Linked DNA regions of Ovis aries. The protein of the gene in region 1 interacts with the protein of each later gene in a biochemical or structural test. Links are inferred from orthologs where the notes say so. Each region holds a gene or a part of one and is shown on either strand. Other genes may lie near its edges. The genes, in order: SERPINF2, PLG and ELANE.

What was found.
Region 2: the proteins of SERPINF2 (region 1) and PLG form a complex in vitro, tested with the Homo sapiens proteins (2 studies listed by BioGRID, with this or other methods). The link is inferred for Ovis aries from reciprocal best matches to the Homo sapiens genes SERPINF2 and PLG.
Region 3: of the proteins of SERPINF2 (region 1) and ELANE, one has a biochemical effect on the other in vitro, tested with the Homo sapiens proteins (2 studies listed by BioGRID). The link is inferred for Ovis aries from reciprocal best matches to the Homo sapiens genes SERPINF2 and ELANE.

Annotation. Positions count from the first base shown.
Region 1 is NC_056064.1:22,722,736-22,726,481, reverse strand, and holds the start of SERPINF2 (alpha-2-antiplasmin), read right to left. Parts: upstream 2,883-3,746; 5' UTR 2,665-2,882; intron 2,454-2,664; exon of another isoform or gene 1,707-2,453; intron 1,269-1,706; 5' UTR 1,265-1,268; coding exon 1,202-1,264; intron 1,064-1,201; coding exon 1,022-1,063; intron 904-1,021; coding exon 841-903; exon of another isoform or gene 831-840; intron 556-830; coding exon 354-555; intron 1-353.
Region 2 is NC_056061.1:84,340,206-84,343,851, reverse strand, and holds part of PLG (plasminogen), read left to right. Parts: intron 1-3,425; coding exon 3,426-3,585; exon of another isoform or gene 3,586-3,646. UniProt on the Homo sapiens protein: Plasmin dissolves the fibrin of blood clots and acts as a proteolytic factor in a variety of other processes including embryonic development, tissue remodeling, tumor invasion, and inflammation. In ovulation, weakens the walls of the Graafian follicle.
Region 3 is NC_056058.1:41,086,707-41,090,429, forward strand, and holds ELANE (neutrophil elastase), read left to right. Parts: upstream 1-865; 5' UTR 866-891; coding exon 892-958; intron 959-1,266; coding exon 1,267-1,423; intron 1,424-1,610; coding exon 1,611-1,752; intron 1,753-2,564; coding exon 2,565-2,795; intron 2,796-2,950; coding exon 2,951-3,157; 3' UTR 3,158-3,262; downstream 3,263-3,723. UniProt on the Homo sapiens protein: Serine protease that modifies the functions of natural killer cells, monocytes and granulocytes. Inhibits C5a-dependent neutrophil enzyme release and chemotaxis. Promotes cleavage of GSDMB, thereby inhibiting pyroptosis. Promotes blood coagulation.

The DNA.
Region 1 (3,746 bases):
CTCCCACCTCCTGAGGGTCAGGACACCCAAGTTTACTTCCATCTCTGCTGCTGCTAGTCTGGGTGACATTTCATCACCTTCCCTCTCTGGACTCTGTCCCACCGTGAGACCCTCCAGTCCAAAAGAGATGTTGGAACTGCCAGACTCTTGCATAAAAACCACCAGAGGCCCATCTTGGGCCCAATCCCTGAGACTCTGATTCACGGAGACACGAGTCTGTGTTTTTAACAAACTTTCAAGAGACCCTGATGGAGGAAGTGCCCGCTAGTAAGCTCTGGGGAAGGAGGCGAGTTCCTACTGGCCTCCTAGCTCTCCTGGTCTGCACCTGGTCTCCTGGTCTGCTGCCCCAGTACCTAGTGCCAGGTGAGACAGTGCCAGGGCCACACTCAGAGGTGACAGGATGAGGTTGGGCCTGGTTGAGCTTTGGGCCACCAGGGAGAAGAGGTCTGTGGTGAAGGTCATCATGGCCCGGGCCAGCCTGCGTGTCTGCTCCGGGGTTGGGGACGCCTTGCAGTCTCCTGGGGCCTTCTTCGGGGCAATCTGGCCACCTGGCTCCTGCAGGGACAGATGAGGGTGGGGGGAGCATTGGTGTCAAGGGGTCAGCTCTGTTGAAGATCTCTTTCAAAGCCCCTGTACTGGAGACAGCAGGGCCTTGTTCCTGTCCAGACGTGGGTGATGGCGTTCTGGGGGCTAGGTTCCTCCCTCGCGTCCCTCCCATCCTCTCCCTTCAGGCCTCAGCCTCACTGCCACCCTCCCCTCCCCTCCCCATTTCCTTGCCCTTCGGATCTGCCTTCCTCCCGCGGGTCCCGCCCACTCTTCCCCAGCCCCACCTGGTTGTACCTGGTTGCCCAGCTTGAGGAGGGAAAGTGGGGGCAGCTTCTCCTGGGCCTGCCCGCTCATTAGCTGAAGAAAGGAGGAAGCAGATGGAGAGCAGCCCTTCCCACAGCCCCCCACCCAGCACCAGCCACAGGGGAGGCCCTTGGGGACCTTCCTCCCTGTCCTGCCTCTCATTCCCCAGTACCTGCAGACCCAAGGGCTCCATGGCGCTCACAGGAGAGAACTGCTGAGAGAGGGGGGGAGAGGAGAGGGAACCCCTGAAGCCAAGACTTCCCTCAACCCAGCCCCCCACCCCTTTCCCCAAGACCCTCGACCTCTCCCAGAGCTTCCGCCCTGCCCCACCCAGACCTCAGCCCAGGCTCACCGCTGAGCACGGGCTTGGCAGGCAGGAGAGGCTGAGCGCCAGGAGCCCCCAGAGCAGCGCCATGTTCCTGTGCAGGACGGGAAGGCTCTGTTCCTACCTCACCCCTGCACCCGCCGAGGAATCCCACCCACAGGCTCATGGGCACCTGAGCCACCAAGCAGAAGGGACAATGCCAGCTGCAGTACCCACGCCCACAGCGTGTCTCTCTGAGCTGTGAATTGCTCGAACTCTCTCCCGAATTGCTTTCTTCCCCCTTTGTGTTTTCTGGTTTTTTACACTGTATGCCCTGAAAGTGTTTTGGTTCATGGCGGAAAATATTACCCACACAGAAAAAGTCCCCATTTCTCAAGGCCGGGAGTTGTGAGTCAGACCTGGGTTTGAATCCAGGCTTCGCCTCTTGGCAGAGGACCCAGGACGTGTCCCTTAAACTCTCTGGGCTCTGCTTTATCTTTTAAAATGGTGGCAAAAGTCCCTTCCTCCTCCCACATGTATTGTGGAGACCAACCCAAGTCAGTCCTGGTGAGCCCTGACTGCACGGGCCAGCACGCAGCGTTGGCTCTTGTCAGCCTCCCAAGGCCCCTCTTCTGGGAGGCCTGTCCTGAAGCCTGCTCCGTACTGGAATTCCCTCCCCAGAGCTCCGATCCAACCCCCCTTTCTGGCTGGCCTGGTCTTGTCCACAAGGGTGGGCTGGCCTGTGGTCTCAGCAGGGGTGGGGAGCTGGGCCAGACTGGCCTTATTGACCCAACGGCTGAGCCCAATGAATGACTGTGGCCAGAGCCACCTTTGGACTTACGGAAAACACAGGCCTCGGCCCCCGCTCTAGCCCCAGGCTGACTCCGGGAAGCCAGGATGACTGGTGGGGATGGGCAGGTCTTGGTCTGGCCCCGGAGCGGATCTCGAACACACCCCCACCCCGCCCCCATCTCAAGTGTCCTTCTCTCACCCCTAGCCCCCTCCGTGTCCCACACAAGGACCCTTGGCCAGGGCCCCAATCTCCAACCTGGGTTTTTAATCTTCTTGCCAAGAAAAAGACCTCCAGTTTTTCATTTCCCAGAGAGACTCCCCTTGAACGCCCCCACCTTGGCTCCTCATCATCTCAGGAGGCTGGGAAGTCACAAACCTCCTGAATAAATTCAGCCCAGACCCCCTCAGCAAGGTGGACACCTCCAGGCCGAGGCACCCCCCGCCCTTACCTCTGCAGGCTCCTCACTGCTGTACACAACCTCCCTCCGGCCCAGCTTGGTGCTCCCACGCTCTGCCCTGCTCCAGCAAGCCCAGCTGAGCCCTCCCCTCCCACCAGGACCTTTGCTCTCAGCCAACCACTGTTCCAGTTGCCTTCTCTTCTGGTAAATATTGACCTGCACATCCGGTTAAACATTGATACTGGAACCAAAAGCCCCTTTCCCACCAGGGCATCTCATACTGGGACAGCCACCTGGAACCCCGGGAGAGGTGGGTCCCACCTGAGCCTGGAGAAAGGCGATTCAGGAGACAAAAAGGCTGTCTTCAATCAGGGGATTAGATCCAAGAAAGACAGGGGACTTTCAGTGACCCCGTGAAGTGGGGGGTTATCCCCGCTTGTCTGGCTCAGAGAAGCTGTGTGGCCTGGCCAAGGACGCAGAGCTGGGCTGAGTCACATTCAGGTTCCCGCTGCCACGGTCCTCGCCTCTTCCTCAGAACTGCCTCCCCCTCCCAAGAAGAGGGAAGGGGAAGCTGCAAAAGGCAAGGGAGGAAACCTGGATCAGGATGCAGGATACGAATCCCTGTCCTCCCATGTCCCGGCTCCTGCTTGGCTGCCTCCAGCCTGAGTCCAGAAGGCAGGGGGAGGGGAGAGAAAAGATGCCTCTCCCAGCATCCCACTTCCTCGGAAGCAATGTTTCCTTCCCCTCCTCGAGATGAGGGTTCTGGGCTGCATGAAACAGAAGCCGTGGACCCTGTATCCACCTGAAGAACCATGGTCAGGATGCCTCCCCTCCTCCTCTCTGTCCAGGAAGCTACAGGGTCCCAATCTTTCCTCCCCCAACACCACCATCAAGAAAAGCCTCACTCGGATCCATGGCTCTTCCACAGGATTTATTGATCATATTTACATCTATTGCAAATAGTGAGAAGGCAGCAGGGGTCCAGCCTCAGACCTCATCTCTGCTCCAGAATGCGAGGACCTGTGACATCTGGGTCTTCCTGTCCCCCCGGGGGAGGGAGACCTGAGATGCAGAGATGACTCTTCTCGCCCCTTCTTTCAGGGTCTTGGACCCCCTCCCCCAAGGCTTCTGGACCCAGAAGCTGCCTCATCAGCTCAAGGCACAAACACTGTGGTGAGGGGTGGGCAGGCAAGGCATGGGGTCACTCCAGGCAGGCACCATCTGGCCCCTCCATCTGTCCTCCTTTGGTCCTGCCCTCTTTCTTCCCCTACTGGTCCCACACTGGCCAGGGCCTGGCTGGGTGGACACTTAAGAGCCCAGCCTAAGGCTCTTAACTCCTGGACCATGGTCAGCCCTTCGAGGCTGGAGTCCAAGCACCGTCAGTGTTCTGGAGTGGGGCAGCT
Region 2 (3,646 bases), on another chromosome or scaffold:
ATAGAGCCATTGCAACTCTATTTTTACTAGAGTCTGGACGATGTCTTTTTTTCTCAGTCTTTTGAGATGTTTAGACCATTTGCATTTAATGTCATCATTGTTAACATGGTTGGATTTAAATCTACCATCAATTTAGTTATTTCTACTTGTCTTATTTGAATTTTGTTCTTTTATCTTTCTCTGATTTAAATGAGTATTTTGTATTGCCTTTTATTACTTCATTTTACTATCTATTTAATGTTTACAATACATACCTTTAACTTACATTTTACCTACAAATAATGTTATTTTCCTTGATGTAAGAAACTTACAACATTGCAATATTTACTCTGTCCCAGAATATCATGCTATTGTTCTGAGTTTACATCTATTTTGAAAAGTCACAATAAATTGGTACTATTTTTGCCCCGAAGACTCAGTCATGTTTTAAAACAATTAGAAAGAAAAGAAAGTCTTCTATTTATTTTTATTTATTTATTTCTACCATTTCTTCTATGCTTCATTTCTTCGTGTTTGCTCTCCAATTTCCAGGTGATGGCATGTTCTTCCCATAAAAAACTTGACCTTTTCCATCCTGTATAGTACAAGTCTGTTGATGATGAAGTCTTTTAGCATTTGAATGTCAGGAAGAGTCTCTTTATACTGCCTTCAGTTTTAAAAAACAATTTTTGTTGGGTATAGAATTCTGGGTGGACAATTTTTCCCCTTTGCCACTTTAAAGATGTTCCTCCATTGCCTTCTGTTTTGAATAGTTTCTGATGGAAATCTGTGTTTCTCTGTATTTAATATTTCTTTTTTCTCTGGTTGCCTTTAGGACTTTCTCTCATTTTCAGTTTCCAGCAGTAGATTACAGTGTATCTAAGTGAGTCTATTTGTTTGCTGATATGTTTACGGTGCTTATCCTACCTGAAGCTCGCTGAGCTTCTTGTGTTTGTGGATCATTGATTTTCATTACTTTTGTAGAATCCTCAGCCATCACTGCTCAAATATTTCTCTTCCCCTGCTCTCTCTCTCTGTTTTCCTTTCTGGGACTTCAATCACCCGAACATTAGATCATTTCTTGTTGTCTCATATCTCCCATAAGCTCGTTCTATTTCTCCCCCGACTCTTTTTTTTCCCCTTTGTGTGTCAGTTCAGATAATATTTACCAATCTGTTTTCAAGTTCATTGATTATTTACTCAGTTCTGTTCAGTCTGTTAATCAGCCCATCAAAGGAATTTTTCATCTCTGATAATATGGTTTTTCTTTCTAGTGTTTACATTTGATCATTTTATTCTTTTTTTTAAAAAATAGTTTTCATCTTTGCTGACATTCTTCATCTATCCATGCACATTGTTGACCAGTATTGTACTTACTACAAAATCCATCAACATATTAATCATAATTACTTTATAATCTCAATCTGATAATCCCATATCTCTGGGTGGCTCTGATAGGCATGAAATTAAAAGATGCTTACTCCTTGGAAGGAAAGTTATGACCAACCTAGACAGCATATTAAAAAGCAGAGACATTACTTTGTCAACAAAGGTCTGTCTAGTCAAGGCTACGGTTTTTCCAGTAGTCATGTATGAACGTGAGAGTTGGACTATAAAGAAAGTTGAGCACTGAAGAATTTATGCTTTTGAACTGTGTTGCTGGAGAAGACTCTTGAGAGTCACTTGGACTGCTAGGAGATCCAACCAGTCCATCCTAAAGGAGACCAGTCCTGAATATTCACTGGAAGGATTGATGTTGAAGCTGAAACTCCAATACTTTGGCCACCTGATGTGAAGATCTGACTCATTTGAACAGACTCTGATGCTGGGAAAGATTGAGGGCAGGAGGAGAAGGGGATGACAGAGGATGAGATGGTTGATGGCATCACTGACTCAATGGACATGAGTTTGAGTAAACTCCAGGAGTTGGACAGGGAAGCCTGGAGTGCTGTGGTTCATAGGGTCGCAAAGAGTCAGACATGACTGAGCAACTGAACTCAACTGAACTGAACCTTATAATCTCAATCTGATAATCCCACATCTCTGGGTGGCTCTGAGTCTGGCTCTGCTGATTATTTATCACTCAACAGTGGCTTTTGGCCCCTGTTTGTGTGTGTGTGTGTGTGTCTTGTAATTTTTAATCAATGCTTGGATTTACTTGTAGAGAAATAATAGCTATTGAAGCAAATATTATTTATACTTTGAAATGGGCAGACTTCTTTTATCAATATGCTATGTGGGTCACTGAATTAATATAATGAGAAGATAAAAGGAATTTAGGTTTTGTTGATGCTGCTTTTCCCTATGTGAACCGTAGGTTTCAAATCCCCCCAGTGGCGAGGTGTAGTCAGCTTATATCTAGAGTTGGGTCTGGGGTGCTGAAGAGCTTTCTCAGTATCTTAATCCCTTCTCAACTTTTAGCAATCAGTAATGCCTGCACCACAGAGGTGGGGGGCATGCCACACTTTGAACCTGATCCTCTTAATAGACTACTGTTTCTTGTTACTCAGTGCTGAGCTTTTGCTGGGGGCAGGCATTCTCTATCTTCTTGGTCTCCTCTCAACCTTAGACTCTGGGCACCTGGTGCTGTGCTGTGCTTAGTTGCTCAGTCGTGTCCAACTCTTTGCGACCCCCTGGACTGCAGTCCACCAGGCTCCTCTGTCCACGGGATTCTCCAGGCAAGAATACTGGAGTGGGTTGCCATGGCCTCCTCCAGGGGTTGTTCCCAACCCAGGGATCAAACCCAGGTCTCCCGCATTGCAGGTGGATTCTTTCCCAGCTGAGCACCTGGCAATATTTCTCAATATTCTTGCCCCTTCTTCTCATGGAACTGAACTCTAAGTTGTATCTGTGTTGAGTCCTGGGTGGAAGAATAGGAGACTTCTGCTTTGTGTTGGTGAAGTATCCTGGCACAGTAGAATTTTCTGCCCCTATTCCAGAGCCCTTCCCTGAGAAGCAACGGATCTTTGCCTGAGTCCTGGATGGAGGACAATTTCCCCCAGCAGCTGAAGGCTTTGGCTTTGTATAAACAAAGAGTCTGAGGAAAATGCAGAAGGTTTCCATGTCTTCCTCACTGGCACCCAGTCACCACGTGCAGCCTCTACCAAATGAATGAGTGTCTTTCTGAAGACCTGCCCAGTTTTCATGAATACCCGGGGGAGATCCATAAAAGAGAGCTTGCACATGAGTGCAAGGTCCAATTACAAGCAGTCTGCCCTGCTTATTTTTTCCTCCAAGTTTTAAATTAACTATTTACCCAAAAGTTAGGTCATGAAAGTCTTAGAATGTTCTGGAGCTACGGTTTTCTTTGCATGTCCATCTGCCTCCCAATATGTAAAAAGAGGGCGGTGTTAATTCCCAGAGAGGATATTGTTTGTGTAACAAGTTATTTCACACGTTTCTCTGTCCCAGTCATTAGTTACTGATTTCTTCTCTTTTGGTTTCAGTACCACCTGAGCAGACTCCTGTGGCCCAGGACTGCTACCATGGCAACGGGCAGGGTTATCGAGGGACGTCGTCCACCACTGTCACAGGAAGGAAATGCCAGTCGTGGTCATCAATGATACCACACCGGCATCAGAAGACCCCAGAAAGCTACCCGAACGCGTATGTCTCTGATTTTCAACCGGTAGAGGAGAGCCGCCAGCTTCAGTGTCCGTTTAAAGGG
Region 3 (3,723 bases), on another chromosome or scaffold:
CAGGTGGCTGATATGGAGACCCTGCCATGCCTGCAAAATATTAGGACAGAGCTGGGTGCACATGATTGCTGTTATCAGAGAGCCCTGGTGAAACTGAGGCACGTGGCATCCCAAACAATTCCTCTGGGCCAGAGTGACCAGTATTCTTGCCTGGAGAATCCCATGGACAGAGGAGCCTGGCAGGCTACAGTCCATGGGGTCGCCAAGAGTTGGACACAACTGAGCAACTTAGCATGCATGCATGTATGACCACATTTAGCAAAAATACAGGATGTCCTGCTAACTCTGAATGTCAGATAAACTAACTTTGTACATAACTACATGTAAGGAATATTGGCTTCCCTAGTGGCTCAGGTTGTAAAGAATTTGCCTGCAGTGCAGGAGACCCAGGTTCGATCCCTGAGTCAGGAAGATCCCCTGGAGAAGGAAATGGCAACCCTCTCCAGGATTATTGCCTGGAAAATTCCAGGGACAGAGGAGCCTGGGGGGCTATAGTTCATGGGATTGCAGAGTCAGACACAACTGTGCGACTAACTTTCACTTCACTTACACAGGACACCCTGCTAACTTTGAATGTTGGATAAACTTTGTTCATAACTACATCCCATGCTTATATGTGGGATACACTTATGTTAAAAAGATGTCTATCTGACATTAGGGTTTAATCATGCACCCTGAGTTTGAACTGGTGACCCTCCTGGTCACTTGCACAGTTCCTTCCCCAACTGTTCTTCCCATCACCCAGTCGGCGGTCCCCCATCCCCTGGATGGGGAGAGGAAGTAGGGGCACCTGGCCCCGCCGTGGGGCAACTGCAACTGCCTCTCGGTGTGGGGACTATAAGAGGGACAGGTGGGCACAGAGGGCAGAAACCCTGGAGCCCCCAACCGACCATGACCCAAAGCTGCAGACACTTCAGCCCTGCCCTGGCCCCCATCCTGCTGGCCCTGCTGCTGGGGGGTGAGTGGGGTCGAGTCTGTCCCTGGTCTTCTGCTCCCCCTCTCCACTCACCCTGGACCCTGCCGCACCCCCCAACCTCATGGGATGAGGAGACTGAGGTTCTGAGTGGTGAGGGTGAAGGGGGGGTACACCCTGCACCCTGTGGGGACTTCAGGTCTGGCTGCGCCGGGGCAGGAGGACCGTACACGCCCCCTCCCCTCTCTGGGTGACAAGCAATAGAAGGGCCCAACCCTGCGGGGTCCTGCTGGGGGTTCCAGGGGTCGGGGGTTCCTCCTCTGCTTACCGCCCCACCCCGCCCGTGCCCCCAGGCCCCGCGCTGGCCTCGGAGATCGTGGGGGGCCGGGCGGCCCGGCCGCACGCCTGGCCCTTCATAGCTTCGCTGCAGCTGCGCGGAGGCCACTTCTGCGGTGCCACCCTCATCGCGCGCAACTTCGTGCTGTCGGCAGCGCATTGTCTGAACGGCGTGTGAGTGTCTCCGCGGGCGCACACATCGAGGGTCCCTGCGCGAGGGGCGTGGGGCCGGCCCAGGGTGGGGGCTTCCGGCAAAAGCGCGAGGGTTTGCAGGGTCCCCCTGCGCCCCAGCGGGGTCTCTCCGCCGCTTCCGATCCCGGGGACCCCCCCCCCATCACCTCCTGTCCGCCCGCGACCCCAGGAACTTTCGATCGGTGCGCGTGGTGCTGGGGGCGCATAATCTGCGGCGGCGGGAGCGAACCCGGCAGATGTTCAGGGTCCAGAGGGTCTTTGAAAACGGCTTCGACCCCTTGAACCTGCAGAACGACGTCGTGGTTCTCCAGGTGCGCGGGGGGCAGGGCGGGCAGGGCAGGTGCAGCGTCCTGAGAGGCTTGGGGAGGGGGGAGGGGCAGGAGACTGGGGGGTGCGGCGGGCGGGGGGCAGACCTGATGTCCCCCCTAATCCTGGTGCTTTAGTCACCCCGCTGTGAAATGGAGAAGTACACCCCCGCATCCCGCAGCGCTGCCAGAGATTAGATAAGACAGCCAGAAGCTCTGAGCAGCTGTCTTTCCTGGCAGTGGGCACTGACGGCCTCCCTCTTTGGGAAATGGGGCAAAACTACCTACATTCGGCGGGTGGGAGTCTGGAGGCAGAAACCTACCTTTCCCCTCTGCTTGCACAGCTATGATTATTCTCTGAGAATGTTCTAGAACAAGGGCTTTATGGTCGTTGGTGTAGCCCACGGTATGTTCTGTTGGACACCTACTGTTTACTGCACTCAAGACACATTCAGGGACTTCCCTGGTGGTCCAGGGGCTAAGACTCTGCACTCCCAAATTCAGGGGACCCAGGTTCAATCCCTGGTTGGGAAACTAGATCCCGCATGCTGCAACTAAGACCCCATGCAGCCAAACAAATAAATAAATAAATATAAAAGACATGTCCAGAGACGTGGCCTCAGCCATAGTGGTTCCTTCCACTTTACAGACGGGGAAAGTGAGGCTCGATGGGAGGCATGAAGAGGGTGCGCATCCTGCTCTTAAACACCCCAGGACAATGGTAGAGCCTCAGCAGGGGAACCTGGCCCCAGAGTCACAGCCGTGGCTCGCCACCCCTCTCCCGTGACTGCTTCATACCCCACCACCCTCCTCTGCAGCTCAACAGGATGGCCACCCTCAACGCCAACGTGCAGGTGGCCCAGTTGCCTGCCCAGGACCAGGGCGTGGGCGAAGGTGTGCAGTGCGTGGCCATGGGCTGGGGCCGGCTGGGCACGAACCGGCCACCGCCCCAAATCCTGCAGCAGCTCAACGTGACCGTGGTGACTGGTCTCTGCCGCCCCACCAACGTGTGCACCCTGGTGCCACGCCGGCGTGCTGGCATCTGCTTTGTAAGTACCCTGGGTGCCCCCAGACCCCACCCCACCCCCTCCCAGGCTGCTGCAGCCAGACCTCTGGAATATCTTCCCCACCCTGAAGGGCAGGTAGGTGGAGCTGAGAGGGCTGGGCCGGGAACCCTAGCCCCCCAATTTGTCTGGCTCCACAGGGGGACTCCGGCGGGCCCCTGGTCTGCAACGGGCTGGTCCATGGGATCGATTCCTTCATCCGTGGGGGTTGCGGCTCCGGGGTCTTCCCAGACTCCTTTGCCTCTGTTGCCAAGTTTGCCAACTGGATCAACTCTATCATCCGGCGCTACAATGACGACGATGGCCCCTCTCTCCACCCCAGGGACCCCACGGGCAGGACCGACTAGAAAGGCTGTACCTGTCATGCCCCCTCACCTGCCCCTGGCTGGGCCCTTCCCATGAAGCATCACTCAGCAGCTGGCACAATAAAAACCTCTCTCTGTTTTGTAGAAGGTGTCTGTGTGTTTGTTGGTTGTACAACTGAGTTGAAAAGTCCTCAGGAGAAGGTCTTGGGTGTGTCATGAGTATGCTGCCACCAGGTGGTGGCTGATTCAGGGCCCTGGGGTAAGAAGTCCCTTCCCTACCTTCCACAAAAGGATCCCAGTTGCTATTTCTTGGATGGAGGAGCCTGGTAGGCTGCAGTCCATGGGGTCACTAGGAGTCGGACACAACTGACAGATTTCACTTTCTCTTTTCCCTTTCATGCACTGGAGAAGGAAATTGCAACCCACTCCAGTGTTCTTGCCTGGAGAATCCCAGGGACGGGAGAGCCGGGTGGGCTGCGGTCTATGGAGTCGCACAGAGTCGGACACGACTGAAGTGACTTAGCAGCAGCAGCAAACATAATTAAACCAGTGCTGCAGGTGGTCATAATGCAGAGCACTACAGCAGGTGTTCACACGTGCTTACAAGC